Linked DNA regions of Cricetulus griseus. The protein of the gene in region 2 interacts with the protein of the main gene of each other region in a pairwise test. Links are inferred from orthologs where the notes say so. Each region holds a gene or a part of one and is shown on either strand. Other genes may lie near its edges.

Region 1 (8,323 bases), on a different chromosome or scaffold from region 2:
AGAAGTCAGTTTACCAACCATCAAAATGTAGAATGAGATGGGCAAAAAACACAGGTAAAGGCAACCAAACTTAAACCACCTGAGTTTATTCCTCAGGACCTGAACAACCAACCACAAACCACCTTGAAAGGCAGTCAAGTGTGGTAACAGCATAGGTCTGGAATGCCAGCACTATGAGAGGTTGATGCATTCTAAGCCAGTCTGAGCTACACAACAAAAGACAGACATCTGAGAGCCTCTCTCCCCTTACCTCACCGCCACAAGACAGAAAGAGAAACACCTGAAAATCAAGCCAGGCGGTGGTGGCACACGCCTTTAATCCCAGCAGGCAGAGGTAGATGGAGCTCTGTGAGTTTGGGGCCAGTCTGGTACAGAGTGAGCTCTAGGACAGCCAGGGCTGTTACACAAAGAAACATGCTTAATAGAGAAATCTTCTGTCTCGAAAAACCAAGCCAATAAATAAATAAAAATTTAAAAATCCTCTTGGTCATGAAGATGGGTTCAGTGGGTAAACGGTGCCTGCTGCCAAGCCTGATGACTTGAGTTCGATACAACCCACATGGAAGGAGAGAACATAGAGAACTGACTCCCACATGTTGTCCTCTGATCTTAACATGTCCCTCCCCACAATACACACAAAAATAAAATAAGAAACATTTAATCTTCTTAGAGGAAGCACATGAACACACCCATGTGCAAAACTCCACGACAGGGACAGGCATTAGGCTCTCCCCACTCAGAACTAGAAAACCATAATGAGCACAGATAGTAGGAGTACTATATAATGGGGTAACTCATAACTGTTGGAGATGAGGGGCCACTGTGGTTATTGATATGGAAATCAATATACAAGAGTTTTCCCCAATCTATAATCCTAGCTAGCACTTGGATGGCTCAGAAAAAGAAGACCACCAGACTACATTTATGAAGACACTGTCCCAGAAGCACTAAACAAAAGAATTTAAATCAAGTAAAAAACACACACCCTCACCAGAAGCTTACTTCTAACTTATTAAATAAGACTGTTAGCAATGGGGACTGGAGGGATGGCTCAGCAGTTAAAAGCACTGAGTGCGAACTGGTGTTCAATTATCTGTCTGTAACTCCAGTTCCAAGGATCTGACCTCTATACTGGCCTTCATAGGCTTCCAGGTGGTGCATATACACATGTGCAGGCAAAACACACATACACATAAAATCCAATTCCTCAAAATTAAAAAGGAGGGGCTGGAGAGATGGCTCAGCAGTTAAGAGCACTGGCTGATCTTCTAGAAGACCCAGGTTCAATTCCCAGCACCCATATGGCAGCTCATTACAGCTGTTTGTAACTCCAGTTCCAGAACTACTGACACACTCACACAGACATACATGCAATCAAAACATCACTGACCATTAAAAAAATAAATAAATAAAAGAAGAACTCAGAAGCACAATTTGCAAGTAACAACCTCCTTCTCATTAGACAAGAATCAGTTAATTCTGTAAACAGAAACACTTGAGGGGAAAAGACCTGAACTAGTCTCAAGACGAACCAGTCCAATTTAAACCAAAACCAGAAAACTCAGAAAGCCAAAGAAATATACACTTAATATTATTACTGTAATAACCAATAATGATAAAGATAGTAAGCATTCAACCATACCTACTTGTTTTATACTTGGCTACTTATACTAGCTCTTAGGTTCTGTGAAAGTATAATTCAAAGTTAATCCGTACCTAACCAGAACAAGTTCTAAGTTCCCTCATTTAAAACATGTAATTGAACTGAAATATAAACTACCCCAACATATCTACTTGGCAATCTGCCTATCATAAAGATCAAAGAAACACTAGAACCCCATTCCTTTGGCAGACATACATCAACTAAAAACCATACTTCATGAATTTAGGTTTGCAGTGTTAGTATCATATAACACAAAGTCCAGAAGAATTAATCTTTTTCCTCTGATCGAAAATTGGAATCATAGCCCCAAGAAGTGAAATACCCAAGAATTCTTTTTTTTTTTTTTTTTTAATGTCTGCTTGACCAACACAATGGTACACACCTCTAATCTCAGTGACTAGGAGCTGACGCAAGACAATTCCACATGCGTGTGATCCCAGATAAGGTTGAGACAGAGAAAGAACACCAGTTCAAGACTTGCCTCATCGACAACGAGAAAACCAGCCTAGAAAACTGAGACTCTGTCTCAAAAAGTTAAAAAGGGCTGGGGTTGTAACTCAGTGAGAGTGCTTGCCTAGAGACATAGGGAGGACTTTGGTGCAATCTAGTCCAAGGGATTAAAAAAGACAAAGAAATAGCAGAAGCTGATCTCAAGGCATCTCATTAACCAATTGACAGTACCGAAGAATGACAGTACTTGAGAACTTTCCCCACAGCCTAGTAGAGGGAAAGATAATAGTCTAATGAAAACAATGAAACATTTTGAATTTAGGTCAACCTCTTTTACCAAAATTGAAAAGTTACTTTAAAATGAGTATCTACCTACTTAGCTACCTATCCAAGCAACAACATGAAATTCAGTATCTATCTACAGACCTGTCTACCTACCTAGCTGTCTAAACAACAGCATGAAATTCAGTTTCCATAATGTAAATGTACAATAGTGTTCTTGGCTAATTAATCTCCAGAAAGACTTAAAGGCAGAGATTGCCAAATATGCTAGTTCACATGTGCAATCCCGGCACATAAGGAAGTGTCAAGCCAGACTGAGCAGGAATGAAGCCCTGTCCAGGGGGAGGAAAAAAAGAGAGGATCGGTGTAAAACCACATGAAAAGGGTTTTACATACAGACACACACACACCTTGAAGAGCTGGGATAGAGATGGGCAAGAATGTTCTACAGATGCCACAGGGCTTCTGGCAAAGTTGACATGCCCTAACCTGCTTTAAAAATTACTATTCACTGCCTTCACTCCGACCTAATTTTATTCATGCTATTCTTTTGGATAACTACAAAAAAAAAAATCCCCAGAGCAAATTCTTGTGTATTTATTTCAATATCCTGCCTACTTATAAGAGCGGAAGAGTCAAACACAGCAGGGGAAAAACGTGACGTGCACAACCTTCATCCAAAACACAGTTCGTCGTGGGCCGTCTAATTTTGGGCCTAACCGGTTTGGTTGTCTTTTTAAAAAGGTTAGAAACGAAATGATAGAAAATCTACAGGTCACTTGTAAAGAAGAACCTGGCCGCTACCAATGGGAGTTACTTACCAAAGAAGAAACAAATCTCTCCCACTCTATCTATTCCTATTAAAATTAAGATAGAGGATGGCAAGAGCCTCTCATCAAGCCACAGTGGCAATTATTTTTACACACTGCTGTCTTGGATGACTTGATCTCTAAAGAACTAATCAAAAGGTTGGAGTCCACAAAGTTACTTGCGGCAACGTTTTTGTGAGTGAGGGCGCGCGTGTTTCAGACAGCCAAACATGGTGAAAAGCCAACCTCAGTCCAAGTTAACCTTAAGAAGCAAATATTCACCTCCTGGCTGAAGATCAAGCAAAAACTGTGAGAAGATCCTTAAGTTCTGTTCTCAAGCGGAGGCTCCCGGAGCCCTGCAAAACTTTCTCCTGATGTGGAGAATGAGGAAGAGCTTACAGACGGAACCTAAGGGGTTCGCGACAGGATTCCGGAGCCCCAAGGCTGCAGCGAACGCAGCTGGTAGAGGGGGGAACATCCAGGAACAAACCCGAGCCGTCCGGTGCAGCGCCCGCGGCAGAGAAGGGCGAGGGCGGCCGGACTGGGGCCGGGCACAGCCGGTCCGCGCAGCCCGGCAAGCTTCCTCCCGGTCGAAGCTGAGGAGAACCCGGGCGCAGACAATGAGCCACCGCCCGGAGCCGAGGGCCCGCTCGCAGGTGCCTGCGTCCCGGGCAGCTGGGCCCAGGCCGCGGAGGCGGGAGGAGGGCGGCGGCCCGGCCCGATCGAGAGCGTCCGCACTTACCAGAGAGGGAAGGTCTCCGCCCGACCCGGGGCGGGCTGCCGGGCCGACGCGAGCGAGCGCTGCTCTGAGAGACAGAGAGGGAGGAGGGCAGGGCAGAGGGGAGCGGCTCGGGGCGCGGCCGTCGCTACCGAGGCCGTGAGGCGCGGAGCCCCGCGGGCCAGGGAGGGGAGGGCAGGAGCCTTCGGCAATGGCGACGGCCCGGGCCGGAGGGGAAGCGGAACAACCGCTGCCGCTGCGCGTGGCCACAACCCTGGGGGAGGGCGGCGGCGAGGCGCGGGGCAGGGCCTGAAGTAAAGACACGCCCCTCCCCTGCGTCACTCCAGATGGGCGGGCCTGCACAGGGCTGCTGGGAATCGTAGTCCAGTCATCTGCTGGCGGGATGGGAGGGTGGGTGGGGGGCGCAGAGGTCGTTTTGGGATTACAGAGAAAACTTGTCCCTCATTTAATTCATCATTTTGCATTGTCTGCAGTTACGCTTTACCTACTGAAGATACTGACGGAGAACATCTGATCCATATATGTTTGTGTATACAGGATCTTTGTTTCTGAGAATTCATTCATTCACCACTTTGCTTTTTTTTAAACCTACAAATCAAATTATACTGCTAAATTATGTCCTCCCTCTTCTCAAACAAAAACCTCTGTATTTATCAACGGAGGAGTTAATCTAAGTATTCTTATTCTATAATTTCGTCAGTGTCTAATGCCTATAAAGGACACCTTTAGGTACTAGGGATTTGAAGTTGGAAATGCTTTACCTCGTCCTTTTAAAGTTTGTAAAGAATGAAAACGGAATAATCAAAGTATTGATATCTGTTACTCTGCAAAAACCGAGGGAGATTACTTTGGACAGAGAAGGTGACATTTAAAGTGAAAACAGGAAGAGAAAGCCAGAAGCACCCAGAGGCAAGGATTACAGGTAGGAAGGAAAAGGAATGCCATGGTCAGTTAAGAAGACCCACATAGGGTTGGAGATCCAGCTCACTGGTAGAGCACTTGCCTAGCAAGTGCAAGGTCCTGGGTTCAGTCCGTAGCTTCATGTAGGGATGGAGAGATGACTCAGCCATTAAAGGCTGAGATCTGTGTAGTTGCAGTTTGGTTCAAGTTGGGTATATTAGAAAACACTGGAGTACAATACATATGATGGAGCAAACCTGCAATTCCAGCACCTGGATAACTGAGGTAAGATAAGGAATTTGAGGATGGGGCTGGCTATAAACCAAGATCCCATTTCAAAAAAATAAACAAAACCAAGCCAAACAAACTTCACAGCAGACAGGATTGCTGTAAGAAGTGTGTACTTCAAGAAGCCATTAAACAATTTCAAGCAGAGAAGTAACGTTACCTGGTTTACCCTTTAAGCTCATTAGATTGTCAGATGTGATGTTGCATACCTGCAATCCCAGTATTTAGGAGGCTGAGGCAGGAATGTTCAAGACCAGCCTAGATCACATATAATAACTCACCTTAAAAGAAAGAGAGAGGGAGCGAGGGAGCGAGGGTGCAAGGGAGGGAGGGAGGGAGGGAGGAGGGAGGGGCAACTAGATAGCTTAGCAGGTAATGGGGTTTCCATCAAGACTCCCCACCTGAATTTGATCCTCAGCATCCACATGGTAGGAGAGAACTCTGATCTCCACACCTGCACCCTGCCCCACTTCCAAAAAAAAAAAAAAAAAAAAGAGAGAGAGAGGGAGAAGTGAACTAGGGAGAGTGATCCAAAAAATTCTAGAAAACAGTAGTGGTTTGTGCTCTGTTTCAAGAAAAACTGCTATGAAGAGCAGAGAAAGACACAAGATAACTCGAAGTGTTCTCACTGTCAAACATAGAAGCATTTGCTAAAATGTGACATCCTAGTAGAAACATAGCTAAGTTGTCACTAGAGAAGAATGCCTCTCTCTGGTAGTTCTCCAAACCCCAAGCTCAGCCCCAAACAAGGAGAAAAGCAGAGTGAAGGAAGCCATGCTGGTTTCAGTTAAGATACCAACTTTCCTTGAAAATCTCAGGGGTTTTGATAGCCACTTAGATGGCAGGGAAGCTGCAGAATACCAAAGATAAAGTGACAGGAAAAAAAAAAAAAAAAACAAAAAACAAAAAAAAACCCAAACGGTTCTCCACAGATGAGCAACTGTTGAATTCACACCAGATTTCTTAGCTGGGCAGAGTGATTCACACCTGTGGATCTGAGGCCTGCCTGTACTATAACATGACACCCTGTCACAGTCTGTAATGGAATAAAAACCTAAAAGTACTGAGGGACGTAACTAAATTTAGAAATGTACCCGTAGCTAAATCATCAAACTAAAATAGAAACGTTGCCAACAGAGATCTAGAAAAGATATAATTCATGCCAGGCATAGTGATGCCAGCTGGAAATCCCAGCCCCTGGGAGGCAGAGGAAGGAGTTCAAGGTTTACATAGTGAGTTGGAGGCCAGATGAGCTATTTGACACCTGAGGCGGGACGGGGGGATGAATGTATTAAGGTAAAGCGTCAAGAAATAAGATGACTAACCAGTGCTATCACTACTTAGGTCAATTCTGAAGTGCGTACTTAGTGCATACCATTTACTCTCTTGTAGTCGATCAAATCCTACATTCAGCCACCTGCTAGCAACACAGGATGTATATTTGAGGGATACAGATGTTGGCTACTTTAATTCAAATCCCATATAATTAGCATTGAACATGGGTTATCAAAATAAGTAGCTTCCAATTCATTAGTGAGGCAAAAGATCATTCTAGTTCCTAAAGCATGCAATATTTTCCAAAATAGATAAATGACTAAGATAAACATTAATACACACCCTACCACCACCCCTAGTTGAGATGAGCTGTTTTTTTGTTTTCTGCATCCAAAAGAACCTAACAAAATTCTTTAAGATAAATAAATCATAAAAGTGGAAAAAATACTAGGACATAATGAACAAGAGAGCAGTATCCATTCTCTTGGCTTGAAACAAAAAAGACCACACACAAAACTGACTGAAATATAAAACCTACTTGTGTCTATCAAAGGAAGATAATATAAGGAGGCCAAACCAAGGCATGTGCATATATCAAAATTAGCATCATCTACTCAACAGGCAATAAGAGTCATATCAAAGTTTGTGTTGGTTCAGTCACATGATTTTCTTGTACTTCTTGACACCTGTATAAGTGAATACAAGACTGGATTATATAGTAAGACACAATTTTAAATATTAACTTTATACTTAAAAACTGCGTGGTAGCACCTGACTAGTTCTGTGCTAGGGAATCTGTGCTAAGTCAAAAAAAGGATCAGGATTTTGAGGATAGTCTGGACTACATAACAAGATTCTGTTTCTTATATATATATGAATTTCATATTTATTTGAAATGCATGTTTATATTTGATCTTTTTTAAAGATTTATTTACTATGTATACAGTGTTCTGCCTGCACACCAGAAGAGGGCACCAGGACTCATTATAGATGGTTTTGAGCCACCATATGGTTGCTGAGAATTGAACTCAGGACCTCTGGAAGAGGTGCTCTTAACCTCTAAGTCATTGTGTGTGTGTCTGTGTGTGTGTGTGTGTGTGTTTCTTTCTTTAGATTTTTATTTATGTGCATTGGTGTTCTGCCTGCATGTACATCTGTACGAGGGTGTCTGGTGCCCTGGAATTTGAGTTGCAAACAGTTGTGAGCTACCATTTGGATGCTAGGAATTGAACCCATGTTCTCTGGAAGAAAAGCTAGTGCTCTTAATCACTGAGCCATCTCTTCAGTCTACTATGCCTATGCTGAACAAGCATTAACAATGGGATTAGTAATGAGACATTGAAATGGGATTACCTTTTGTTTTTTGGGTTTTTTTTTTTTTTTGGAGTGGTTATATGACATTTATTGAGTTTATCTGCTAGAGTGGAAATAGTGTTTATAAACATCCAAATGTTTGTTACTATCTTCTGATGGGGGAGGTCCTTCTGTGTATATGTTTGTCTTATTGGTTGATAAATAAAGTACTGTTGGCCAATGGGGAAATAAGTTAGGCAGGACTAGGAGTCGAAGAAGATTCTGGGAAATGTAGTAAAGAGAAGTCTTGTGATCCAGGCAGGAAGTGACATAGCAGGCAGACTCAGAATATAAGTAGGGACAAGCAGGAAATCTCTCTATCTTCCCCCTCCTCTCTTCTCTGTGGAGTCACCATGTGATTGCTGGCAAGAGAGGACGCTAAGGCTGGTGTCCTCGATAAGTCTTATAAAATATATAGATTAGTAGTTATGGTTGATAATTAAGACTGAGTTAGCAGATAAGAAATCCTAGTCATTGGCCAGCAGCATTGTACCTAATATAAGTCTCTTGTGTGTTATTTTGAGCACCCACATGATGGCGGGGCTCGGGTGGCATTGTGGAAAG
Region 2 (8,474 bases):
GTCTCATTATGTAGCCCAACCTGGCCTCAGAGTGATGATCTTCCTGCCTCAGCCTTCCAAGTGTTAGGATTACAGGTATGTCACCTGACTTTCTGGAGAAAGGAAATTTGAATGACCCCCCTAATGTCTTGGTTAAACAGACCTCATCTCTCTTTAAGCAGACAGTAGTCCCACACACCCCTCATTTACCTAATTTCTCTTAAAATTAGGATATTAGGGGACAAAAGAAAAGTCCTCCAAATGTAAGAAGAAATACATTTCTGGAATTATAAAACAAAATGTCATACGCAAGAAAAGACAAGCCATGACATGGTATGTGACACTGGCAATAACTGGAAGCCGAATGCAGGCACTCAAAAGACGAAGAATACAGACACATGAGCACCCCAGATGGAGGTGACTCATCCCCCTTGGGAAGGGGCAGTTCCAGTCCAAGCTAGTCCTAGAACACTCTGTTCAGTGTTAGCATCCTAGCCGATCTTGAGGATATTTGGGTCAGAACCCTTAGAACTACATAATGTTGCCCTTCCCGTTCAAATCATCCCCATCAGTGCTGGAGACCAGTTTGCCTCTGGGAGGACTTCCTCAGGAAGGCAGATGACTCGTGGCTTCTGGGCATCCTTCAATCATAGCAACCATAGCACGCTGCACATTCCTAAGCCTGGAATCAAAACACTCTCCCACAGAAAGACTATCCCAGAGTAAGAATATCTGACCCAATTATGCCACTTCCCACTGCAGCATCTGGAGGGAAAACAGGGGAGAGAAGTCAAAGTTCTTTCTTCTATTAAAGCCACAGAAAAACTGGGACTTAATCAGATGAGTCAGAATTTATGTGAAATGTGTGTGTGTGTGTGTGTGTGTGTGTGTGTATTAAACTGACATTTACATAAACACCTGTGAAACTAAAGCACAGAAGACAGAAGTGAGCCAGGGAATTAAGGTCTCTTGGAAAAAAAAAAAATCACCCAGCAAGATTTCACTACGCGCTGTTAAGTTTGTATAAACTTGGTGATGGGGTAAACCAAATAATTGATGGCTATGTAACCACCAGTCAATCATCTACATGGCTCAAGACCCAAAAGCAAACATCTGCCTAAGAGCATGTTAGACAGAAATCTCCATACCGCTTCCAAACTCATACAGACAAACACTTAGACTGGGAGGACATTCTTGGTCTTTCAACCTGGGCCCACCATACATGGATCTATAGTTTCCTGGACATGTAAGAACAATGCTGAATTGTTCTTAAGATTCAGGTTTATGTTGGTTTTACTGTTATTGTTGCTGTTGGGGGGGTTGTTTTGTTTGAGACAGGATATGATTTATATAGCCCTGTCTGGCTTGGAGCCAGCTATATAGACCAGTTTGCCTTGAACTCCCAGAGATCCACCTCCTGAGTTTTAGACTTAAAGGACTGCCCCACCTGGCCTAACTTTCATACCAGTCTTGATGTTTAAAAGTTTTAATATTAAAAAATATTTTCACAGACAATGCACTTGATCATAAGGCTGAAATGCTAAGATTTTAACTTTTTGTTATTTTTAATAGAATGCCCAAAACTTTTTTCTATAATTATTAAATTTAGGGGAAATAATTGGTGATGAAAACAACTATATTGTGGGGAATATAACCAACATTCATTCTCTGGAGAGCTCTAAGCCATTTGGGTATGCCTTCCAACCTGGCAGAAGTACCAACCCATGGATTAAAGGTCACATAACTAGCTTCTTCAAGTGTCTTAAAGATCTACTTGACAACAAAAAAGTGGGCTTAACCATCTGTGTCTGGTGGTGCAAGATTTAGGTTACACACAGAAACAGCAAAATCTCACCTGAAGCCTTTACATAGGCCTAGTATTTATAGTGTGCATAGCTGACCAGGCTGGGAGCCATATTTCAGATCTCTGTGCATGGAGTGGCATTCCATCGTCACTGTGCAATCTCAGCCTAAAGGTCAAGGACAAGCCCTCACAGTTCTGCCAACCATCACCACATTGGCTCTAGTGATGCTGTTCACCTCCAGGCCAGTTTGTTGTTATTCTTGCTGTTGTTTGGGGTTTCTTTCGTTTGGTTTGGTTTGGTTTTTGTTGTTGTTTGTTTGTTTGTTCTGTTCCGTTCCGTTCCGTTCTGTTCTGTTCTGTTCTGTTTGCACTGCCAATCACTCCTTCATCTGCACAGGTTTGTTGGAATACCTCCATCATCCTCGAAAAGCCTTTTATGCAGAAGTATAATGTATGTTTCTAAATTACATTTTTATTCCACATACCCCAGGATCTCCAGAAAGACTAAATGAAAAGAAAATTCCGTCGGCTTACAGGCAGCCATGGAGGTCTTCAAATGCTTCTCCATGTGGTTTGATATGAAGCATTCATGTTCCATGACAGCCCCCAGAGTAAGTTATCTTTGGTTGTCATTCAGGCTGTTCATCAGCATGCAGTGCCTCCCTCCCAGCCCAGGGTAGGATGGTGCTCCTGACCCTTCTGCTGAGCCAGCTAGGCTGCTTCCTAGCCTTTTCTCCATGTCCATTTCCTTGCCTGCCATGGTGATCCATGTGTGTGTGGCTGTTCAATCAGTGCCAACCCTGAATAAAGAGGACAATGCTGTCCTGAAGAGATCCAAGGTAAGCAAACAAACAAACAAACGTGTCATTTTCCAAGTTACTGAGCTTTGGGGATTGTTTGTTATGGCAACATAACATCCCTAGCACTCTAGTCCTAAGTGAATTGTTATTCTTTCACAGAAAAGAAATGTTGGGGCACGGAGCATCACTGCAAATGCTACTCTAATCCAAAACAGAAGAAATGTGGGCTCTACTACATTGACAAGCATGCATATGATTTGTAGATACGTGGGTTATTGACAGGTACTTACTAAAGCTGATTTTTCTTCAACCCCGCCCTGGTAAAACTGCTCAACGCCATTGGATAATCTGCAATCTTCAAAATCTCATAGAAAAACAAAGTTCTTTGACTTGAACCCATTTGTCAAAATCATTTGCAGGGTCACATTTCGAAGACCAGGCCCGTTAATCAAATGAGGCTTCATTCTGAGGTACCAGACAAATTAGCTAACTGTTCTGCTCCTATGTCATTGAGGAGGGCCAGGCTGACCCGGGAGGTGATGATTCAAACAAAAAGGGAAACAGCCAAGCATAAACAACATTGGAGAACTCAAACCAAGCCAAAGGCAACACTGTATCCCTTCACTTCTGAGAGGTGAAGCCTGAGCCCAGCATATGCACAGTAAGAAAAATTTCAAATGCCCCATGTCTGGTTGGTTTCCTCTATGTAAAAACCTGAGGGGATTGGGGGGTGTGGTCTGGAATGCATGTCTAAGCATTGTGTCCAAACGGGGACTCATAAACTTGATCACATGTAGTATATCTACAACCTGCACAATCCCGTCGTCGTCGTCCCCCCCCCACCACACACACACACGTTCATTTGAAACAGTGTGACTGGAAGATTTTCTTCCTCAATGCAGAAAAGAATTGCTTGAGTTTCTTGTTTAAGTAAAGAGAAAAGTGTCGGTTTTCACTTTGCTTTGAACTGGTGAGTCAGGGAGCACTGGATGATGTCATATGTTAGCCTGCAAGCCCTGATGTGGTTCTCTCTGCTCTCAACTCAGTCCCGTCCCGTTTCCGTGGCAGACAGTACTCCCCGGGTTCCATCCTTTCTTCTTTGGCTTCTTCCCAGCCACAGGCTAGCAGCCTGGCTAGCAGGGCTTAAAACAGGAAGTCTGACCGCTTCGGCCGGCTACGGGACCCCGAGGGTTTTCCCACTGGGCGTCCTGGCCTGGTTCCCCAGAAGTACAAACACACGCACAGAGCCCCATTGTTGCCGCCTTCCCGGCCCACTGATCCTAATATGGAATGCAGCAGGAAACCCACGATTTCCTGACGCTTGGCAAGCTGGAGGAAGCGAGGGGGGAAACTCCGTTTAAAAGCCCTGCTCTCCTCCATGTTAGCTGTGTGCTGGAAAACCAGACAGGAGTTGTCCAAATCCCACCGTGTCATCATCAGCCAGGCTGGGACTGGGGAGGGCAGAGTGAGACTCTCACAGGCTGCTGAGATTTCTAGACTGCCAGGAAGTCCCGGGAAGTCTGTGGAAACGAGAGCGTCTTAACTCCAGCCATTGGAGGGAAAGGGACAGACCTTTTACATCCCTCCTCCCAAGAGCGTGTTACCTTTCTTCTCTCCCAGCATGGTGAGCGGCGGAGCTGGTGTGTGTCTAGGCTGCGCCTGGGAGATCCAGGCCAGCCACAGCCAGGCCGCCTGAGTTCCAGCCTGGAGCCGGTCCCACCGCTCCATGCGCTGCAGAAAACCCAGCCCCAGCCCCAGCCCCAGCAGCAGCAGCAGCAGCAGCAGCAGCAGCAGCAGCAGCAGCAACTGGAGCCGCCAACATGAGCTGCAGAGAAGGGACTGACAGCAGCTGTGGCTGCGGTGGGCGCGACGAGAACAGGATCCTCAAGTGCGTGGTGGTCGGGGACGGCGCGGTGGGGAAGACCTGCCTGCTGATGAGCTATGCCAACGACGCCTTCCCGGAGGAATACGTGCCCACTGTGTTTGACCACTACGCAGGTAGGAAAAAGTGGGGACCAACTTTTTCTACATGAGCAGTGGGGATGGGGGTACAGCCCAAGTTCAGAGGAGCCTAACTAACCCAGAAAGTCAGAGCCAGATGTGGACCTGGCGAGTACCAAGTTAACTCAAGCCGAGAATGTTGCTAGGATGGGGAGAACCTGTGCGTCAATTTACTTGGTACCGCCTTCCCACCTTGAGCAAATGTGTAAACCTGGAAAAATATCCTCCAGACCTCGGGGCCTGAAATTTTTCTCAACATTTTTGCCTAAACCTTCCTAAACTTTTCACAATGATCTTCTTCTTTTAAGTGTAGTGTAATTGCATAAATTTCCATTTAAAAAAAATCACCACTAGACACGTGGGAAGAATGCATTACTCCTTCAAGCTAGTCAGTCATAAATGAAAATGCTAAGGTAACCAGCCAATAAAACATTCTCCTTTTTTTCTGGATTACTGGAGGCTTAAATTTTGTCTTTCTCTCTTCTGGGGTGGTAGATGAGGAAGAAAGTGTCCCAAGCTTTTAGAATATTGAGTGGGAAGTTAAGTAAAAGATTGCTATGCTTTTACAAATAAAAATTCAAATGCAAATAAAATCATTTTTCCAGTATGTCCTGAAAAGACAAACTTGAGTATGAACTATTTTAAACCATGTTCCGATGCTGTCGTCACGCCTTAATTCTTTCAGGGGACTTTTAGTTTTTGAGTGTTCGATAACTTGTGAAAGTTCAGTCAGCACCCTGCCATGTTTCCCACATTAGCTGCGACCTGTAAGCTTCCCCTTATGGGAACTGATGTGTTTCTCTGAGCTCACCGTGGCCTCGGTTTTATAACATTTTTGGAACACAGCGATCACCAGTGAGTTATCAGGGACCTGGGGTCTGATGGGAGGAAAATTCCTCTCTCTTGGCCATGGCTCGGGATCAGATCAGTGTGAAGGAAGCCGCCCACAGGAAGCCAGCCTGAGTCTCTGCTCTTTGGCCATTTGAAATCCTCCTTCCTCCCTCCATAGGAAGTAGCCGCTTCTCCGTCCAGAGTACCATAGTCACCCCATCTCCCTTCCTTTTAAGTGTACATATTTGTAATAGTGGTATACAGTGCGCCCGGGAGAGATTCGCTGCTGGGGAGGGGGTCCATTTCCTAACAGGTTTTTTTTAGATTTGTAGAAATTACCTGAGCTTTTCTGAAAATAGTATGTCCAGGGAAGAACTTTTTAATGAGTATGGAACAAAGATAAAAACAGACTTTTCCTGGGGGGAGGTGGAGGAGATGTTGTAAAATATGGGGATCTGTACCTTGAGGAAGGGATTCTAATTCTGGTCCCGAAAACATTGTAGCAGAAGTTATTTCTCCTGTTATCTTCTTTATGGCAGAAAGGAAAATAGCTAGCACTTTATTTAAGTTGCTTTCTGCTCAAAGATGGAACTGAAAATCTACTAAAAGGAAAGTCTTCGAATGCCTGGGAAATTATGTCTCTGGATACCCATCCCTCGGGTGAGCCAATTACAATCCTATTGGCAAGCATCTTTGGCCATGAAGTTAGTCTATTAAAAAAAAAAATGAGGTCAAAACAGCTGGACTTTGCTAGCATGGAGTTATTTTATATTCCAATTATATTCACAATGACTAGGATTCGAGCACCAAAACCCCTCAAAGAAGTTTTACTGTTCGAGTTTTCATGGACTAAACTGTATTGTTTTAGTTCTCGAGGAATCACGGCCCCTAGACACAAAGCAGTTCTTTGCACACAGTAGGCATTCCTGAACACGGTCACTTCAGTTTATGCTACATACTTCTTCCGTATGTGATCATCTCATGTACTGTCCCTGTGGTTAAAAGGGGAGGAAAGGCATGAGCCACACTCACACCAGAGACTCAGGAAATGCTGGTTTCCATCCCAAAGACTCCACCCTGCTCTTCCTGCTCAGGCTATGCATCGGTCCCTAGGTGGCCATCAGGGAGCAAACCAACTCTAAAACAAGCAAAGGCCCCTTCCCCATCTGGATCCAGTTATCAGTTCCCTGGGTCCCACTGACCCACTCTGATATGACAACAGGAAACACAGCTGCCGTGTCTTTAGAAAAATGGCCTTGAAGTCAGGGATGGCCTGTCTCTTGAAGATGGCTCACTAACAACAGAGTGTGCATGTAATAGTAAGGAAAGTGTGCAGCAATATCACATGAGCCTCTTCTAATACTGTCTTTTCCACTTACTCTGTGGCCTTGAGAAAGTCACTTAACCTCTCTGTGCCTCTGTTCATAATGGTAACAACAGGGACAATAAAGGTGTTTGGATCGTTTTTAAAAGCAAAATGAATTCATGTGTGTAAAGTTCTTAGGGCCCAACACACAATGTGGGGTCAGGTATCATCTCAAGGTCTGTACACACAATGATGGAATTGAATGAAAATGTTATTGAACTAGGAACTACAATGGAGTACGGTGTAATTCCAAGAGTGTACTGTAATACAAGGACAAGGCGGGATAGAGCGCATGATTATCCTTATAAAATAGCTACCGTGGGGCTGAGGAGTGACAGCCCTGGCTACTGTAGTAAGTGGGATGTTAATGTAAGAGGTAGGATACCAGACTCGCATAAGTAATGGCAGAAGAAAGAAAAGGCTGGGGAAAAGTTGAAGTTTTATTACTACTAATTTATTTACCCATCTTTCCAAACTACCAGAATCCCAAAGTACACCAACTCCATGGTGGCTCTCCTGAGGACAACTCCTTGATCTGTGTCCAGTCTACTTCTCGAAATGTGTTTACATTTCTAGGGCACAGTCTGCACCATCCTGTCCTGATTTATGAGTTTCCTTAACTGCCACCCCCACCCCTCTCTGAGCTCTGGCTCTCCTTAAAGGAAGGTCATCCCTCACCACACACACACCCCACCCCCGGGTGTCTTGCCCTGTAGCTTTGATGGTTAGCTACTCTCCTTAAAATACATTCTTAGCTTGGTTTCTGGAACACCTCCTCCCTCACGGTTCTGTTCCATACCCTCAAACTCTCTCCACCTCCTCTGAGTCTCCCTCATTTCTCAGGGGCTGAGTGGTAACATAGTTCAGTGGTCAGTCCCTTGGTTCCCTTTTCTGGTTAGCCTCAGGACCCAGGTGTTAGAGTATCTAGTTTCACAGCTTAAGATAGCATTGATATGCTGCCAATTTCATATTTATATCTGCCCACCAAGCCTCAGAACACTCATCTATGCACTTGCCCCACTCCGTTTATCTGTCTAATAGGCATCTCCAACCAATGTTTGTTTTAATTTTCCCATCTGCTGGTCCACCTCCCTTCTCCACATAAGATCGCTGCTGTTTTCTCCTGCTCAGTGACTGAGAGCAAACACCAGTGTTACCTGTGACTCCTTTCTTCCTTTGACAGCATCCTCCTCCCTCTCCAGTCAACCATCAGTTCTTATCCCTTGTCCCTACAAATGAGCTCAGCCTTCACAAAGCACCAAGAACCAAAGCTGGCCACTTGCCATCACCCTATTTCTTGCCTCTTCTCCTATCCACACCACCATCGTCTCTCATCCACACTACTATAGTGGCCTCTCAATTCTCTGCTTCAAAACCCGTCCCCTGTGTGCCTCCACCCAGGGGAACCATCCCCAATCCCAGCCCCCCACCCCAGTCCCTTTCCTCCACACTCACACGCTTCCTGTGCCGTAATGTCAAGGTGCTCAGTGACTTTGTCCATTTTCCCTTCTCTCATCTTCTAACCCTATTCTCAGTATTTCTGCTGTAGCCACAGTGACCTTCTTACTGTTTCTCATGGAAGACTCCTTGAATGTTTGCCATTCACTCTTACCCTGACCTGACACCCCGCCCCCAGATCTGACCTAGCATTGATTGGTCACATAATTTAATCCATGTGTCTGTGCCTATGTGT
Region 3 (8,231 bases), on a different chromosome or scaffold from region 2:
ATAGGTCTCTCGCATGTTCTGAGACACATACCTACAGCTTTTGTTTGTTTGTTTGTTTCCACAATTTTCTCTCACATCTGTTTTCAAAGCAGTTCACTGCTCTATGACACCTAGTATTTTTAGTTCAAAAACTGCTCTTTCTAATTTTGTGTACAATTTTAAATGAAAATAGATTTGCATCACTTTCTCCCTTCCCTTCCTCCAGCCCCTCCCAGGTATCTCCCCTCCAACCCCTCCCTTCCCACCCTCCTACTGACAGACACTCTCAAAATATTTTGCAATTGCTTTTTCTGGCCTGTTCATTTCTTTGTTGGTGAAGAGGATCGAATCCAGGACCTTGCACACATTAAGCAGGCATTCTCTGGGCTAGGTCCTAGCTTTTTGGATTTTACTAAATAACAGGCCTGTCTAGAATTATAGTATTAATTAACCATTTTGGTATTTGAGCATAATGGGATAAAACAACCTGTTTGGCAAAATATGTAGCCTGAAAAGAGATTATTCTCCCAACTCACTGACACAAATTTGAGAATTGTGTAAAGCTGTAAATACGAGTTTTTGAAGGATCAGGGTTACAAACAACAAATTCAAAAATATATTCTTCAATCCTTGATCCTTTACACCAGTGTTTCCCAACCTTCCTAATGCTGCAACTCTTTAATACTTTCTCATGTCATGGTGACCCCCCAACATAAAATTATTTCATTGCTACTTCATAACTCTAATTTTGCTACTATCATGAATCATAATGTAAATATCTGATACCTGTGGGGGCCAGGACCCTCAGGTTGAGAACCACTGCTCTACTCAAAGAACCAATTAACAGATCATAAGCAATGATGGCAAATGACAGGCAGGATTTGAGTGACCACTGAGTATCAGGTTATCTTACTTTACAGTTCTAAAGTAGGTGTTACTGTCCCAACTTCTACTATATTAACATTATGAAAGAGCAATTTCATTTTACAGATGAAGAAAGTGAGACAGAAAAGATCTAACAGGAACTTTAGCCTTGAACCAACTGCAGCCTATGTTTTTGGATACTAAAATTCACATCACGGCTGAATCATGTCCCAAGAATTTCTGATGATCTCAGTTGTCACTGTGCTTTGAGTTAATAAGAGGTGTATTTTTAATAAAACATAAACTGACATAAAGTGGTTTGCACCTCTACTTGTGCCTTTTTAAAGCCTAATTATCTTATAGTCTTCGCCACTTTTTTTGTCTTTGCCACTTTTAAAGATTGTCCCCTTAAAATTATGATTTGTTTAATTTGAAATATCTACATATTATGTGAGTACTCCTAAGAGTGTAAGATCTCATCTTCCTTTGTAGACTTCTTCCTGGTCACCTAATTTCACTATGGGGATTGTAGGCAGCCTGAAAACTTTTATATTTTCATTACTTTTGGTAATGGTTTACCAATGCATTGAGAGTTATCATGTCATAAAATTTTAATATGCAAGTGTTTAATTGAAACTGAATGATTGGAGAACATCGTTAGTACAATTTATGTGATAAAGTGTATCCTTAATTATCCTTAATGTGAAGAATGGTGAAATGTACATTTTATATAACTCGATGCAATCTGATTTATCATTTCTATACGCCCAAGTTTTTAAATACTGTTTTTTTTTTTTTAGTTTTCCATTCAACCGTATTATTTTATAATAACTTCTGATATTCTGAAACACAGTCATGAAGAATTCTCCGTATTGACTTGTGCTGGGAATGTAGATCAGTTGGCTGAGTGCACCCCAGGCCTAGGTCCCAGCAACTAGAAAAATTAACTCGAAAGGATAAAACAGGTAAGGCATAATCCTGTACAGGAATTCGAGACTGAGGACGATGGAGAGAGGGTTAGTTTCCAATTCACAAGATAAGAAAAAAAAAAAAAAAAGTGGCATTCGGGGCTCGTCGGAAAATTCGAGTGTAAATACTACACACACTTATCCCACGAGATCCGCCAGGCGGGGGGGGTGGGGTGGTGGACGTCTTTTGAAAGCGGGTCCGATTTTGACATCTATGAAGACGCCTCCCCTGATCCTGGCAAAGGTCTGTTCCTCCGCCCCCGCCCCGCCCCCAGTGGCAGCCTGTCGTGAGTTCGAGAACCGGGGGGCACCTGATGGAGGCTCCGCCCGCAACCACGCTGGCCGACCTTTGCAGCTAATCTAGACCTGCCAGGAGGCCTGAGAGTCCCACTTCGCTAAATGTCAAACCCTGGCCACCACTGGGGCGGGAGGACGCGCGGCCCGGTGCGCGCTGCGGTAAGGCGGTGCGCCGCCGGACTCTGCAGCCCCGCCTCGGTCCGACTCTGCGCACGCGCGAGGCGGCCCCGGTCCGGGCTGAGCGGGTGCGCGGGCCTCCGCTGGCTCCCGGAAGGGGGTGGGGCCTGCGCGGCCACGCCCCGGCTACCAGCAAGCGAGAGGAGGGGTGTCCGGCCGCGCCGCGTTTCCGGCGCGCTCCCCCGCGTCCCGCGTCCCGTGGTCTCGCCCGCCCCCGCTGCCATGTTGGATTGTGCGGCAGCCGCCGCCGCGCCGCCGCCGCAGAGGAGGAGGAGTCGCCGCGTTAGCCGCCGCCGCCGCCGCCGCGCCGCGGAGTGCGAGGACGACGACCATCCGGCCCGAGGCGAGCCGGGCGGGAGCCGGGAGCTTCCCTGTCGGCACGCAGTCCGCGCGCGCTCGCCCGCCGTCGGCTCCTTCCTTCCTTCCTTCCCTCGGCCTCCGCGCAGCGGAGGAGCGGCGGGATGCTGCGCCGCCTGTGAGCGCCGGCCCCGCGCCCCTGTCACCCCGAGCGGGACCGAGTGAGTGAGTGCTCGCCCACCTCCTGAGGAGACAGCCCTGGACGCGGCACCCCGCCGGCGACACCATGAGCTCGGGCCAGCAGCCTCCGCGGAGAGTCACCAACGTGGGCTCCCTGCTGCTCACCCCGCAGGAGAACGAGTCGCTCTTCTCCTTCCTCGGCAAGAAATGTGTGGTCAGTGAGCCGAGCGAGACCCCTGTCGCCACCCACCGCGTCCCCGGGCGGGCTCGGGCCGGGGCACTAGAGAGTTAGGAGGGAGAAGGGGGCGGGCGGGCGCGCGCGGCCGGGGTCCCGCCGCGGGCCAGGCCTCCAGCTCGCTCGCCCGGGCCCGGGTGCTGCCCCGGGTGCAGGCCGCCCTGCCCGGCCCTGCCCGGCCGGGAGCCGCCTCCCTGAGCTACTGGAGAACCAGGGAGTGTCACCTCTGCGGGCCTGCCCAGAAGTCCAAGTCGGGGTCCGCGCCCTTGCTGCAGGTTCAAACTTTACTCTAGACCACAAGGGAATTTTTCTGGGTGCATCAGTAGCTTCATCTCCCAACGGGAGCCCAGCCTTGCTTTACTTCCTACTTGTGGATCTGGGCTGTCTTCGTTAACAATGCTCGGGGCTTTAGGAGTGAATAGATGCGGGGAGGAGGGGAGAAGCGCGCATCGGCTTTATCGATCCCCCCTTTAGGATTCCGTGAGAAGGGTAAAGTGGAGTGCAGGTTCCCGGACACCGGCTCAGAGCGAGGAAGGGGCAGGAAATGCGCCTGCACCCCACTGCAAAGAAGCAGGGCTTATTTCCCCAGCGTTTGCGCCTAGGCCTAGTTTCTGCACTCCGCCCCACTGTTTTTTGTTTTATTTTGGTTTTTTGTTCTTTTTTTTTTTTTTCTTCCTTGCATTGGTAAGAGAGAGTGCTGCTCTCACCGCAGCCATGCATAGAGACGCCGCAGTTTCTACTAGTTCCTGGCCATTGGAGTCAAAAGTGATTCTGAGTTTGGTCCTGTGGGGCCAATCCCAACCCCAGATGGCGGATTGGGAGCGAGTAGTTCTGTGGGAAGGGGGAATGCCTGTTGTTGACGGAGGCATTCACGACTCGCTTCTGGGGCTGGAAGGCTCTCCCTGGTGAAGGCCTTATCTTGGTCTTACTGAGGTGACTCTTGAGTTGAAAGGGGGATTGTTAAAATACTGACTAGTCTCTTGCTAACACCCGCCGAGTGTGTGCCCCTGGAACCCAGGAAACACGCTGAGAAGTTTCAGCTGAGTAGGACCATTTTATATTTTTCCTTAGCAATGTTAGATATGTCAAACCAGACTACACCTGCTTAAGAAGTTAAGAGTAGACAGTTTCTGGAAAGTTACCAGCTTAATTGTTAACTTTATGAGCTTACTTTTTATATCTACTTCTGGACTTAAGATGTATTTCTTGTTCAAAAATTTAGACTTTAAAGAACACCAAGTCTACAACCAGAAGTAGTAAACAGTTTCAAGAAAGAAAGAAAGAAAGCTGGGGAGACAACTTTAAAAATGAAAGAAGTCCTTCCTGGTATATAGTATTTTAAACAAAAGAGAAAGTGGAGCCCTTGGCCCCAAGTCACAGTAATTTAGGAATGTAACTGGAACTCTATGTCTAGTCCCTTTGTACTTTCCACTACAGCATGTTGTTTCTTGAGGATTTTTCCCCCTTAATAATTTGGTTGTCAAAGTGGTGTTAAGGGAATAACTACTTCATTTTTACATAGAATGGATATCATTAAAATGTGAGTTTCTAAAAACAATGTTTTGCATATTTTCAGTTTGGGAAAGTCTCCAGCTTTTTTTTTTTTTTTTTAATGAGCTGCCTGCAAACAGGGCCAACTTTGTTGGTTTATTACATTTAGTGTACAATCTACCAAAAGTTAAGGAGCTTTCTGTGTTCACATACCAGACCCATGAATTCCAGGCATGGAGGACATTGCATGTATGTGCCTAGTGTACTCATTGCTCAGAGCTTAACTGTAGTGTTTACCCAGGGTTTCAAGGAAATGACAGACGTGGGAGTGTATTTTGATAGACAAAGATAGCATGGCTCACTGTAAGCATAAGTAGGTTGCTGAATTGGTTGCAAGCAGTCAGCGATGAATTTCTTTACGTCATATATTATTAATCAACTTTACCTTTTGAATTGTTGTAATTTAAAACCACATTGTTGTTGCCTTCTCTTGTAAGATGAAATTGTGAAAATTAAACTTTGGAGATTTTGGTTCAATCGAGAGCAATGTAAACTCAATGTTTTGGAATAATTTTTATAGACTTAGGCTCCCTTTTTTTTGTTTAAAACAACAGTGAAATGCATTGTCTCATAAATCAAGCAGTAGAGTTACAGGTCAGATCAAATGTAGTAAACTGATACATTCAGAGCTCAGTCTATGAAGTCAAGGCATGAAACTAGTTATACGGTGCCGGATTTTAAGCAAGTTCTTCATCCCTTGTTTCATCAAATAAACATGTATTGAGTAACTGAACGTTGAGGTCAAAAGTCAAGATTGATGCTTGCCCTCGGGGAGTTTAGTGTCTGATGAAGGAAACAACAAATAAACTGATGAATAAGTCAGTACTTAAGAAATAAATATGCAAGAGGCGCCTGTCACAAGCAGGATTCTAGGTCTGTAGTCAGGAGATGTGGGTGTGTAAGCTCAGAGCTTGGCTAAGCCCCTTCACTCTCCTGTTCTGTATTTGCTTTTCCTACCTGTTAGAGTGCTGTCAGATGGAGTGAGCGTGTTGGTTAGGAATATATACAGATGTCTGAAAACCTGTTATAAAAGGATGGGAACTCAGGGAGATGGATGGGAGAGTAGATAAATGAAAGCTTCATAGAATCAGCAATACCTTAATAATATTAACAGGTTGATAAAGGAAGTGCTTGTTAAATTAGGAAGCTTTGTTAGGGAACAGAGGTTTTACCTGCATCTTCACATGTATGTATATTGAAATCATGGTAGAAATTATTAGATGTGTGGTTAGTTGTATAATTTCTTGATAATTACATTTCTTGGTCTGAGGTAGAGCTTGATCTTCTGTTTTTATCAAGTTTTATGGGAAGATTCAAATGTGCACTACAGTTTGCAAGTAGAAGTCCATTTCTGATGGCTAATTCTAGATTTGTCACCTTGGTGACAATAGGCTTTCTTTTGATCGACTTTGTATTTGTGAGTTAAAGTTAGAACAGGTTCTTTTAGTATGGCATTCTTTGTCTTTCAAGATGTCAGATGTATTTCATAACCAAGAGGCAGATACAGAAAGAGAGAGAGAGAGAGAGAGAGAGAGAGAGAGAGAGAGAGAGAGAGTAGAGGGAGCACTATTAGTGGGAAGCACAGACCAGGTTTCACTTTGAGAGTGTATTTGGGGTTGGGTGGAAGCTATATAGAGGTGGACTGCTGGTGGTGAGATGGGTGACAAAGGAGATCCCATAGGTGTTTATGGGTGACCCCATACAACACTAAGGGGGGCTGAGTTAAAGCAGTTTGGGGGTAGAGGATTCAAGTATGATGAAAAAGATGCCCAGAATGACTAAGTCACACTGAGAAGCAGAAGGGGAGGGAATTGCAATGAAGGGAGACATTAATGAAGAGAGAAAAGTAGGTAGAAGCATACTTAATCTCATTAGCTGGAAGTGAATCTTAGACATCTACTGTTATGGTATCGTTTTAATAATTAGACTTCATGTAAATTAGGGTTTCATGTAAAGTTAAATGTACTATGTGAATATTATAACTTAACATTGGGTTAATAGTTCTGGTGGTATCACTATCTGGAGTATTGTCTCAAACTTAAAGAGCAAGATTTACTTATCGTTTTGACAAGGTTTCTATGTGCTTTGGCATCCCTGGAACTTGCTCTGTAGACCAGGCTGGTCTTGGAACTCAGAGAGACCTCCTGCCTCTGTCTCCTGAGTACTGGGATTAAAGGTAGTGTTTATTTACCACTGTGCCCAGCAGAATTCATTTACCTTATTATGAAGTTCTGTTGACTTTCAGGTAGAGTGATAGTTAACTTGTGTAATTTTTGCCATGTGGAGTTTAATATGTGTAGTCCCAAAAAAGTAGGGAGTAGGGAAAATAAAACCTGTAGTTAGTTCTATCCCGCCTTCTTTGTTCTGAATGGATTGAAGCTGGTGTGGATTGGCCATTTTTTTCCTGCCATACTCACCTATTTTATTTTTTGTTTTGTTTTGGTTTGGTTCTGTTTTGTATTGTTTTCACTTTTATTGATTCTTAGAATTTTTTATTAGTGTTTACATTCATTCCTGTTACTTCCTCAGCCCTTGTTTTTATTACTCTTCTTCATTAGTTAAATTGTTTCCTCGATTTGTATGCAGTTCTGAGAGATGGACCTAACACCTTGGTACATTTCTGTAATTTTCACATCTATCAGAGGTGAGTGAATACTTCTTGGTTGAATAATTACAATTACTCATTTGATTCAGACTAAGGGACCTAGTCAACATTTCCTGCTGCTTGATCAAGTTGAAAAAACTTCCTATTTTCGACAGATGTTACCTGGAGCTCAGTCTTTCTTCATTAAGCAAAATGGTTTCATTCCCCTGCTAATACAGGTGGTAGGATTGACTGTTTAACAGTTGTTTTGTTTGTTTTAAGTCACCTTGTATGTAGTAGTTCTTAAACAGGTATAGAGGGAAAAATGTACTTAAAAGATACCTTCTTGAAAATTTAATTAAGGCAGTAGTGGTAGAATGAAAGTGGGAAATGCCTCTTACCTTGAGCAGTGCGGAGAGAAAACACTAAAATTCACTGGACTTGTAATACACAGCCATGAAAAGTGCCTTCCTCTGGTGTAGGAAGAAAGTGAGCACCAAAGAATGATGCAGTGTGGACTACGTGAGCAGAAGAGATGGGGAGAATATAGCCTACATTGTAAATCTGGTCATTTTTAGTTCTTAGAGTGGGCACATTTCTCAGCCCAAGCATCTAGATCTCTAAAAGGGTCTTACCAAAGGATTTAAAGAATTCCATGGTTAGGTAAATCATGTAAGAATGGCCACCACCTATGAAAGTCTTCAGGAATTTGTAGAAGCATATGAAGAAAGTTGTTATTGATAGTATTCAGTGTTGGTTTACATTTTCCTTTGATGGTCAGATTTTGATTTAGGTAAATCAGTTCTAACAATTTTGTTTAAAGTTTAATTAATTGTGAAGTCTATAATGAGCTTTTGGATACACCTCTCTGAAGAACCTCTGTACTGTTCCCTCATAAGCCCATCCCTGCCCACTAGTTCTACCACCGTTTGGCCAGTGTTGGGTGTTTTATATAAAATATATCATTACAAAGGTTAGTCTTTATTTAGTGTTGTAATACTACTTAACAGTTAATACCAGCTTATCCAATCTGACAATAAAGTGAAGTCTTCTAGAATAATAAGCAGGCTTGGCCAGGGCCTTCATTATCACCCATGTT
Region 4 (6,574 bases), on a different chromosome or scaffold from region 2:
GAAACAATAATGGAGAAGTTTTTATTGGTTATTTCAGAAGAAATTAAGGAGATTTAGTCTTATGCAAGAGTTTCCAAGCATTATGAATTTGATTTAATTTTTTGCTCATTGAGCCCCAAGGAAAATCAAGGAGGCTATTTCCCTGAAAGGACTGAAGAGAAAGTAGACTGGTAGCCAGTCAGGGATAAGGAAGGACCTGACACTAAGACCTGTGGGACAGTATGAGAGCTTGGATTTTATTTTGCAGCATTAGAAAGGATTTTCAGCTAGATAATAGTAATAGGACACTGTTTGTGGATGAAATGAATCATGTTGGTTGCTTCTTTAGGAAATACAGTGAGAGACTGATAAAATAGTTCAGACAAGAGTAGTAGCTTGGATGACACTGGTAGGAATGCAGGTGATAAGTAGACTTGGAAAGTATCTTGACAAGATAAAGTGGAATCAACAGTCCCTATAGCCTGAATTTTGAGAAATTCAATTGCCCTTTGCATTAGTTACTTTTTCTGTTGCTATGATTAAAGTACTGTGACCAAGGCAACTTACAGAAGAATAAATTTTATTTGTGCTTGTGGTTCCTGGAGGATAAGACTTCATGATAGTAGGGAAGTAGCATGAATGACAGCAGGAACAGGATGCTGAGAGCTTCTATCTGGAACCACACATGAACCACAAACTGCAAGTAAGAAAACCTTAAGCTCCACCTCCAGTGACATACTTCCTTCAGCAAGGCCTTAATGAGCAGTTAGTATAGTGATAGGGACAAATACCTAACTTGAATAAACCCATAAGAACAGAAAAGGAGGAAATTGAGATGGCATTTATAAATATTTTTCTCTTCCTATATGAATTTTGTTATGAAGGGTGACAGAGAAATGGAACAATGTCTTGTAGAGTTGGGAAGGGGTAGGCTAAAAGTTGTATGTTTGCTACTGGAAATGAATTAGTGAAGAGAACAAAATGGTCATTTGCAAGAGAGAAATAGCGACAGCAAGAACGATACATAAAATAAAGGGCATTCGAGTGTGGACATGTTTCTATTCTGTAATGGGAGAGGAAAGCAGAGTATGCAACAAAGATGCAAGGAAGGTGGTGATTTTGATTGTGGACAACTGTGAGGTTCTTTTGATTGCTTTTGTTTTCTCATTTAATCCATCCTCCAATCTAGTGCAGGAATTCCCCTGCAAGGGATATCTACCCTTAACTACATGTTCATATTGCCACCCTTGGATAGCTTTAGTTCCTGGAAAGTGCTTCATTATCTCAAAGTGAAGCTTTGTTTAGTTTCTACCCTTTGGCCCCAGCTTTGTTCTCTGACTTTGTTCTCTGACTCCACATGTACCACATCCTCTTCTGCCTGGGATATGAAAGTGATCAGTGTGATGTGATAGAAATAAGACTGGGATTACAGTGAGTACAGGCAAACAGTGAGTGCAACAGGTATATAGTCTTATGTGTGAAATTGGGATAGTCATTTTTGCCCTGTCTCTTACTCAGAGTTATTGTGGTCATTAAAAATGAGACCGTGCAGCTGGGTGTGGTAGCACATGCCTTTAATCCCAGCACTCAGGAGGTATAGACTGGTTGATCTCTGTGATTTTGAGGCTGGCCTGGTCTACAGAGTGAGTTCTAGGTCAGCCAGGGCTACACAGAGAAACCCTGTCTCAGAGAGAGAGAGAGAGAGCCTTGTAATTGAAGAGCTTGGTGTATAAAAACTTCTCGTTACTATGTTTTACTTCATTTCTCAAGAGTTGCTTCAAGTTAAGGGTAGGGAAGCAGCAAAAAAACAATTGCTGCCTAACAAAACATGCCTTTTTGTAATCCTATTGGGTGACTGAGTTCAGTGAAGGTGTCAGCAGCGTTTGGTGCCAGCAACTAAAGAGATGTTTAACTTACCATGCTAAGTGAGTAATAAACCCCTTGTATCTGTAATCAAGAAAAAGATTAAACCCTTAGATTTGTAACACCTTAGAAGTGTACAAAGTGCTTTCCAAATGCACTCTTTATTTTTGTGGATATATGAAGCATTGTTTTATTAGCAAAGAAGTTATATATTAGGTGTAGATACATGGCCATATGGCCTTGACATGTTAACCTTGATCCTTAGGTTAGTATATTCTCTGTGGAACATCAAAGCTGCCTCATTGTGTCCTAGAGCATACTGCAGCTGACCATATTTTTAGAGGACTTATCCCTCAGTGACAACAACATGGCTCTTCCTTTGTATTGCCAGGCCTTGTACCTCATTGCCACCAATGGGACCCCAGAGCTTCAAAACCCAGAGAAACTGTCGGCTATTTTTCGGGACTTTTTGAACCGCTGTCTTGAGATGGATGTGGAGAAGAGAGGTTCAGCTAAAGAACTACTGCAGGTAACTATCCTTCTGCAGCGAGGTGCCAAATCTTTGTACCTCATTTTTGCCTTTGAGGTTTCTTATTATAGGCTTCTCTCCTACTATCTCACTTTGTATTTATAGCTCCCTGGCCTTCCGTCTTGGGCCGGTGCTTAAATTTGTCCCTTAGTTTCTTCCTCAGTCTATTTAAATTTGTACACATTTTCCTTGGCTCAACTCAAAGTCTACTTTCTGAACTTCTCTTGAAGTTTTTTCTTTGTCTTTCAGGCATGTTTTATTTTGTCTGAATTTGCCTGTCAAAGTTGGGTCTTGAAAAGTGGCTCTCTGAGAAGTTTAATTTTGTATAAGTTATATTTTACTGGGATACATGTAAACAATGTAAAACCCAGCAGTCTGGGGTAGTGGTTCTCAACCTTCCTAATGCTTCATCCCTTTCATACAGTTCCTCATGTTGTGGTGACTCCCAGCCATAAAATTGTCTTGTTACTACTTCATAACTATAATTTTACTACTGTTATTAATTGTAATATAAATACCTGATATGTGGCCCCCAAGGGGTTCATGTCCCACAGGTTACAGAATTGGTTATTCCCATGTTTGCAGGTAAGGAAATTTACATGTAATAACTTTTGTATGATTATACAATTGACAAATAGAGGATACAGGGTTTCAGCATGTCTGTTTGCTTGCCAAGTATATATGCTTTTTGATCACTGCTTCTGAAGACTCAGAAAATGTCAGAGCTAGAAGGTTTATAGGACTTACTTAGTTTACTTTGTTGAGAGAAGTAAATGGAGGCTTCCTAGTTGAGTATTGGATGATACTGCTTTCTTACTTCAGAAGAGTTAGAAAAATAGGACCTCAACCCTAGCTTAACTTGTCAGTGTTATCTGGTAAATATTCAAAACCTAAACTTTTCAGAATCTTAAATCACGAAGTTTCACATCTGTTTCTTCTGTGAGAATACACATATGGACAGAAATACATAGGATGAGACAGAAGTAGATAGAATCCCAATATGGGATTCATAGCTTCAAGCTTTAACCAAGATCATTCATCGTTCTCAGTTCCTCTATATATCCTGTATCTGTCCCAATAAGAGTTGAATCAACTTTCAGCAAAGAATATATGTGTATATGTCTCTATGTATGTGTCTGTACACATATAAAATAATACTAATTAAAGTTATTATAAGCATGGTAGAAGAACCAGATATGTTAAATAATTATAAATATTTGATCAGAAAAAGAAATATAGCTCTGATATTTATATCAAATGGAAGAAACAGTCTATATCCTCAAGACAATTGCAAAACAAAAACCAAACAACCTACCGTTTCAGGTAAGAGGCTCTGTGTTACATAAAGAATTGTTTTCTATAACATTTTCATATTGTATTTTCTCTTATATGATTTATGTTTTTTTTAACTGGAAGTATGGCTCAAAGTCTATTTCTGTGAAAGTAGTTTTGGAAAGGACCAACTATTGAAATCTTTACTGGAACACTTAGCTTTGCTGGAGTCAAGGATTTAACAAAAGATTCTTAGCCAGGTATGTTTCATACTTATAGTCCTGGTTAATAGGCTGAGGCTGTAGTTTTATGACTAAATACTAGTGTTTTCTCCAGAAATAATAGTTACTCTGTTATTGAAATAGTTTAATTTTACCTAGGAACAAATATAATCATACAAAATGAACTCTTTGTCTTACTTGTTTCACTCAAAATGTCTATGGATTAGAGCTGGGTGTGGTGGTTTATGCCTTTAATCCCAGCAGAGGCAGGCAGATCTCTGTGAGTTTGAGGCCAGCGTGGTCTATAGAGTACATTCCAGGATAGCCAGGGCTGTTACATAGAGAAACCCTATCCCCCCCCCCAAAAAAAAAAACACAAAAAGTCTATGGATTCATCTTGCTTTCAGTGTGTCAATTACTGTGTTAAATTCTGTATAATGTCATATGAACATAAATCTATTAACCCTTCCTTTGGGTTTTTTTACAGGTATTAACTATTATAAGTAAAACTTATATACTTTGTCAGTGAGATAGCTTACTGAGTATGAGTAACTGCTGCCAAGACTGACAACCTGAGGTCAATTCCCCTGTACCTATATGGTGAAGGGAATTGATTTTTGCAAGTTGTTCTTGTGTGCGCGTGCGCGCACACACACACACGCACACACAGAGTAATATATATACATTTTTCCTTTAGTTTGAGAATGACCTGACATGGATGCCCTTATTGTCTTAAAATAGTTATAAGTGCCAAACCGTGGTGGCGCATGCCTTTGATCCCAGCACTCAGGAGGCAGAGGCAGGAGGATCAGTTCGAGGCCAGCCTGGTCTACAGATCGAGTGCCAGGACAGGCTCCAAAGCTACACAGAGAAACCCTGTCTTGAAAAAAAACAAGAACAAGAACAACAAAAAACCCAGCCAAAAAGGTTGTGAGAATGATAAATAATATTTGTTTTGCTTTTTCTTCTTCTAGCATCAGTTCCTAAAGATTGCCAAGCCCCTCTCCAGTCTCACTCCACTGATTGCTGCAGCAAAGGAAGCAACCAAGAACAGTCACTGAAACCACATCCACCCCAGATCATCGTGCCAAGCCTTCTATGAAAGAAACTACTCAATTCGGGAACTCCGATTCCTCATGTCCTCTTCCCCTTGCCTTGTTTCTCCCATTTCCTGATTTAGTGCTCTCAAGACTTTGATCCTTGGAAACCGTTTGTCTAGCACTGAAGAGAACTGCAACTGGATGACTGATCCAGCAATAGCCATTTCTAAATAGGAATTCCCTTCTAATCCATGGGCATGGGGGAGGTGACTTAATGAGCAAGGGTTTACCTGAATAAACCTGTTTCTACGAAACAGAAATCTCAACCATCCCATTCCTTACCCCTTACAATCAGTTCTTGACTACATAAATTTATGGTTTGATAGCATTATCAATTTGCAATCAGTTGAAATTTCTTTAGTGCTTTCTTTCTGTGACCAAATTGCCCAAACACCTCATTGTATTTGAAAACCATAACAGTTTAGAATGCCATGGGGCCTGATAATCTGCCAGGGACATGAAGTGGCTCTGTTGCCTGAACCATGACCTTGGTGCAGCTGATCCTGACATGGGAGAACTACCATGTTTTTCTTTGTGTGTGCTTCTAGCAGCTGTTTGGGAGAACCATGACCCAGTAGTGTTCCCTGTGCTATTTCTAGTGAAATGGTCTTAGCTATGTAGCAGCTTTTGATTCCCTGCATCCCCTAGGCTGCTGCCTGCATTCTGTTATAAATCTTATTTATAGCACTGAGAGATTTCCTAGAGCACATGCTGAGTAAGAGCAGTGTGAGAAGTCAGAGGAAAAGTGCAGCTACTTTTAGCATATGGCTGGGCTTCAGCACCTGGCCAGCTATACTTAGGTTATATTTCAAGACCTCAGCCTGTTTCTACCTGGAACAGGAGCTGAAAGATGAACTCATTTGGTAGCTTAACTATTTCAGTCAAAAGAAAAGGTCTCCAAATCTGAGATGATGTGCTACTAGTGATAAGGGTACCCTCTTTTTAAATGCATGACCAAGCTCTCTGCAAATGGACATGCTTCCTCTGGGTGTTGGGGATATTTGCTACCTCCTGCTTTCTTTGTGGTTTTGGTTCTTCCACTGTGGTAGGATGCTTGGCCAGCATTGTGGCTTGTCATGTCAGTGCCACTGACTACTTTGTCATGCTCAGAGGTACTGTTGCCTCAGCAGCACAAGTTTCTATTTCCTTCAATAAAAGGAAATGAAAATACGCCACATGGAGTGTCTTTTTTCCCCTCTCTTTTCTGTTTTTCCCCCTTTCTCATGAAATAATAATGATTCTTCATGAACCATTTGAAAGTAAGTTGTGGATAGGATACCCCTTTACCATTATTGACTTCCATTTGTTGTCTTTTCTTTCTAAAAATAGTTTTAGTTTAAATTTATACCAAAAAACTTAACAAAACCAAAACAAATAGCAACAACAACATGTGCGTTGTTTAAAGAATTATTGTAAACACACATGTATTTGGTGCCCATATAAAAAAGGGAACACTTCTAGTACCCTAGAACTGTCTCCATCTTGCAGTTCCCTTATTCCAGCCCCAACTCTGGGTGGTAACCACTGACATGCTTGGGTGAAATCATATGTGTTTATACTTTCACAATATACAAGTGTATTCCACAGTAGCTCATTCTGCCAGGTTGGTT

What was found.
Region 1: the proteins of Rhoj (region 2) and Pak2 interact in binary tests that used the Homo sapiens proteins (3 or more experiments, as listed by UniProt). The two-hybrid records come from large-scale screens. The link is inferred for Cricetulus griseus from reciprocal best matches to the Homo sapiens genes RHOJ and PAK2.
Region 3: the proteins of Rhoj (region 2) and Wasl interact in binary tests that used the Homo sapiens proteins (3 or more experiments, as listed by UniProt). The two-hybrid records come from large-scale screens. The link is inferred for Cricetulus griseus from reciprocal best matches to the Homo sapiens genes RHOJ and WASL.
Region 4: the proteins of Rhoj (region 2) and Pak1 interact in binary tests that used the Homo sapiens proteins (3 or more experiments, as listed by UniProt). The link is inferred for Cricetulus griseus from reciprocal best matches to the Homo sapiens genes RHOJ and PAK1.

The regions. Positions count from the first base shown.
Region 1 is NC_048597.1:57,418,486-57,426,808, reverse strand, and holds the start of Pak2 (serine/threonine-protein kinase PAK 2), read right to left. Parts: upstream 4,181-8,323; 5' UTR 3,947-4,180; intron 3,618-3,946; exon of another isoform or gene 3,487-3,617; intron 1-3,486. UniProt on the Homo sapiens protein: Serine/threonine protein kinase that plays a role in a variety of different signaling pathways including cytoskeleton regulation, cell motility, cell cycle progression, apoptosis or proliferation.
Region 2 is NC_048598.1:128,166,453-128,174,926, reverse strand, and holds the start of Rhoj (rho-related GTP-binding protein RhoJ), read left to right. Parts: upstream 1-3,608; 5' UTR 3,609-4,403; coding exon 4,404-4,581; intron 4,582-8,474.
Region 3 is NW_023276806.1:202,725,817-202,734,047, forward strand, and holds the start of Wasl (neural Wiskott-Aldrich syndrome protein), read left to right. Parts: upstream 1-2,665; 5' UTR 2,666-2,868; coding exon 2,869-2,976; intron 2,977-8,231. UniProt on the Homo sapiens protein: Regulates actin polymerization by stimulating the actin-nucleating activity of the Arp2/3 complex. Involved in various processes, such as mitosis and cytokinesis, via its role in the regulation of actin polymerization.
Region 4 is NC_048596.1:101,603,215-101,609,788, reverse strand, and holds the end of Pak1 (serine/threonine-protein kinase PAK 1), read left to right. Parts: intron 1-2,233; coding exon 2,234-2,371; intron 2,372-4,838; coding exon 4,839-4,925; 3' UTR 4,926-6,139; downstream 6,140-6,574. UniProt on the Homo sapiens protein: Protein kinase involved in intracellular signaling pathways downstream of integrins and receptor-type kinases that plays an important role in cytoskeleton dynamics, in cell adhesion, migration, proliferation, apoptosis, mitosis, and in vesicle-mediated transport processes.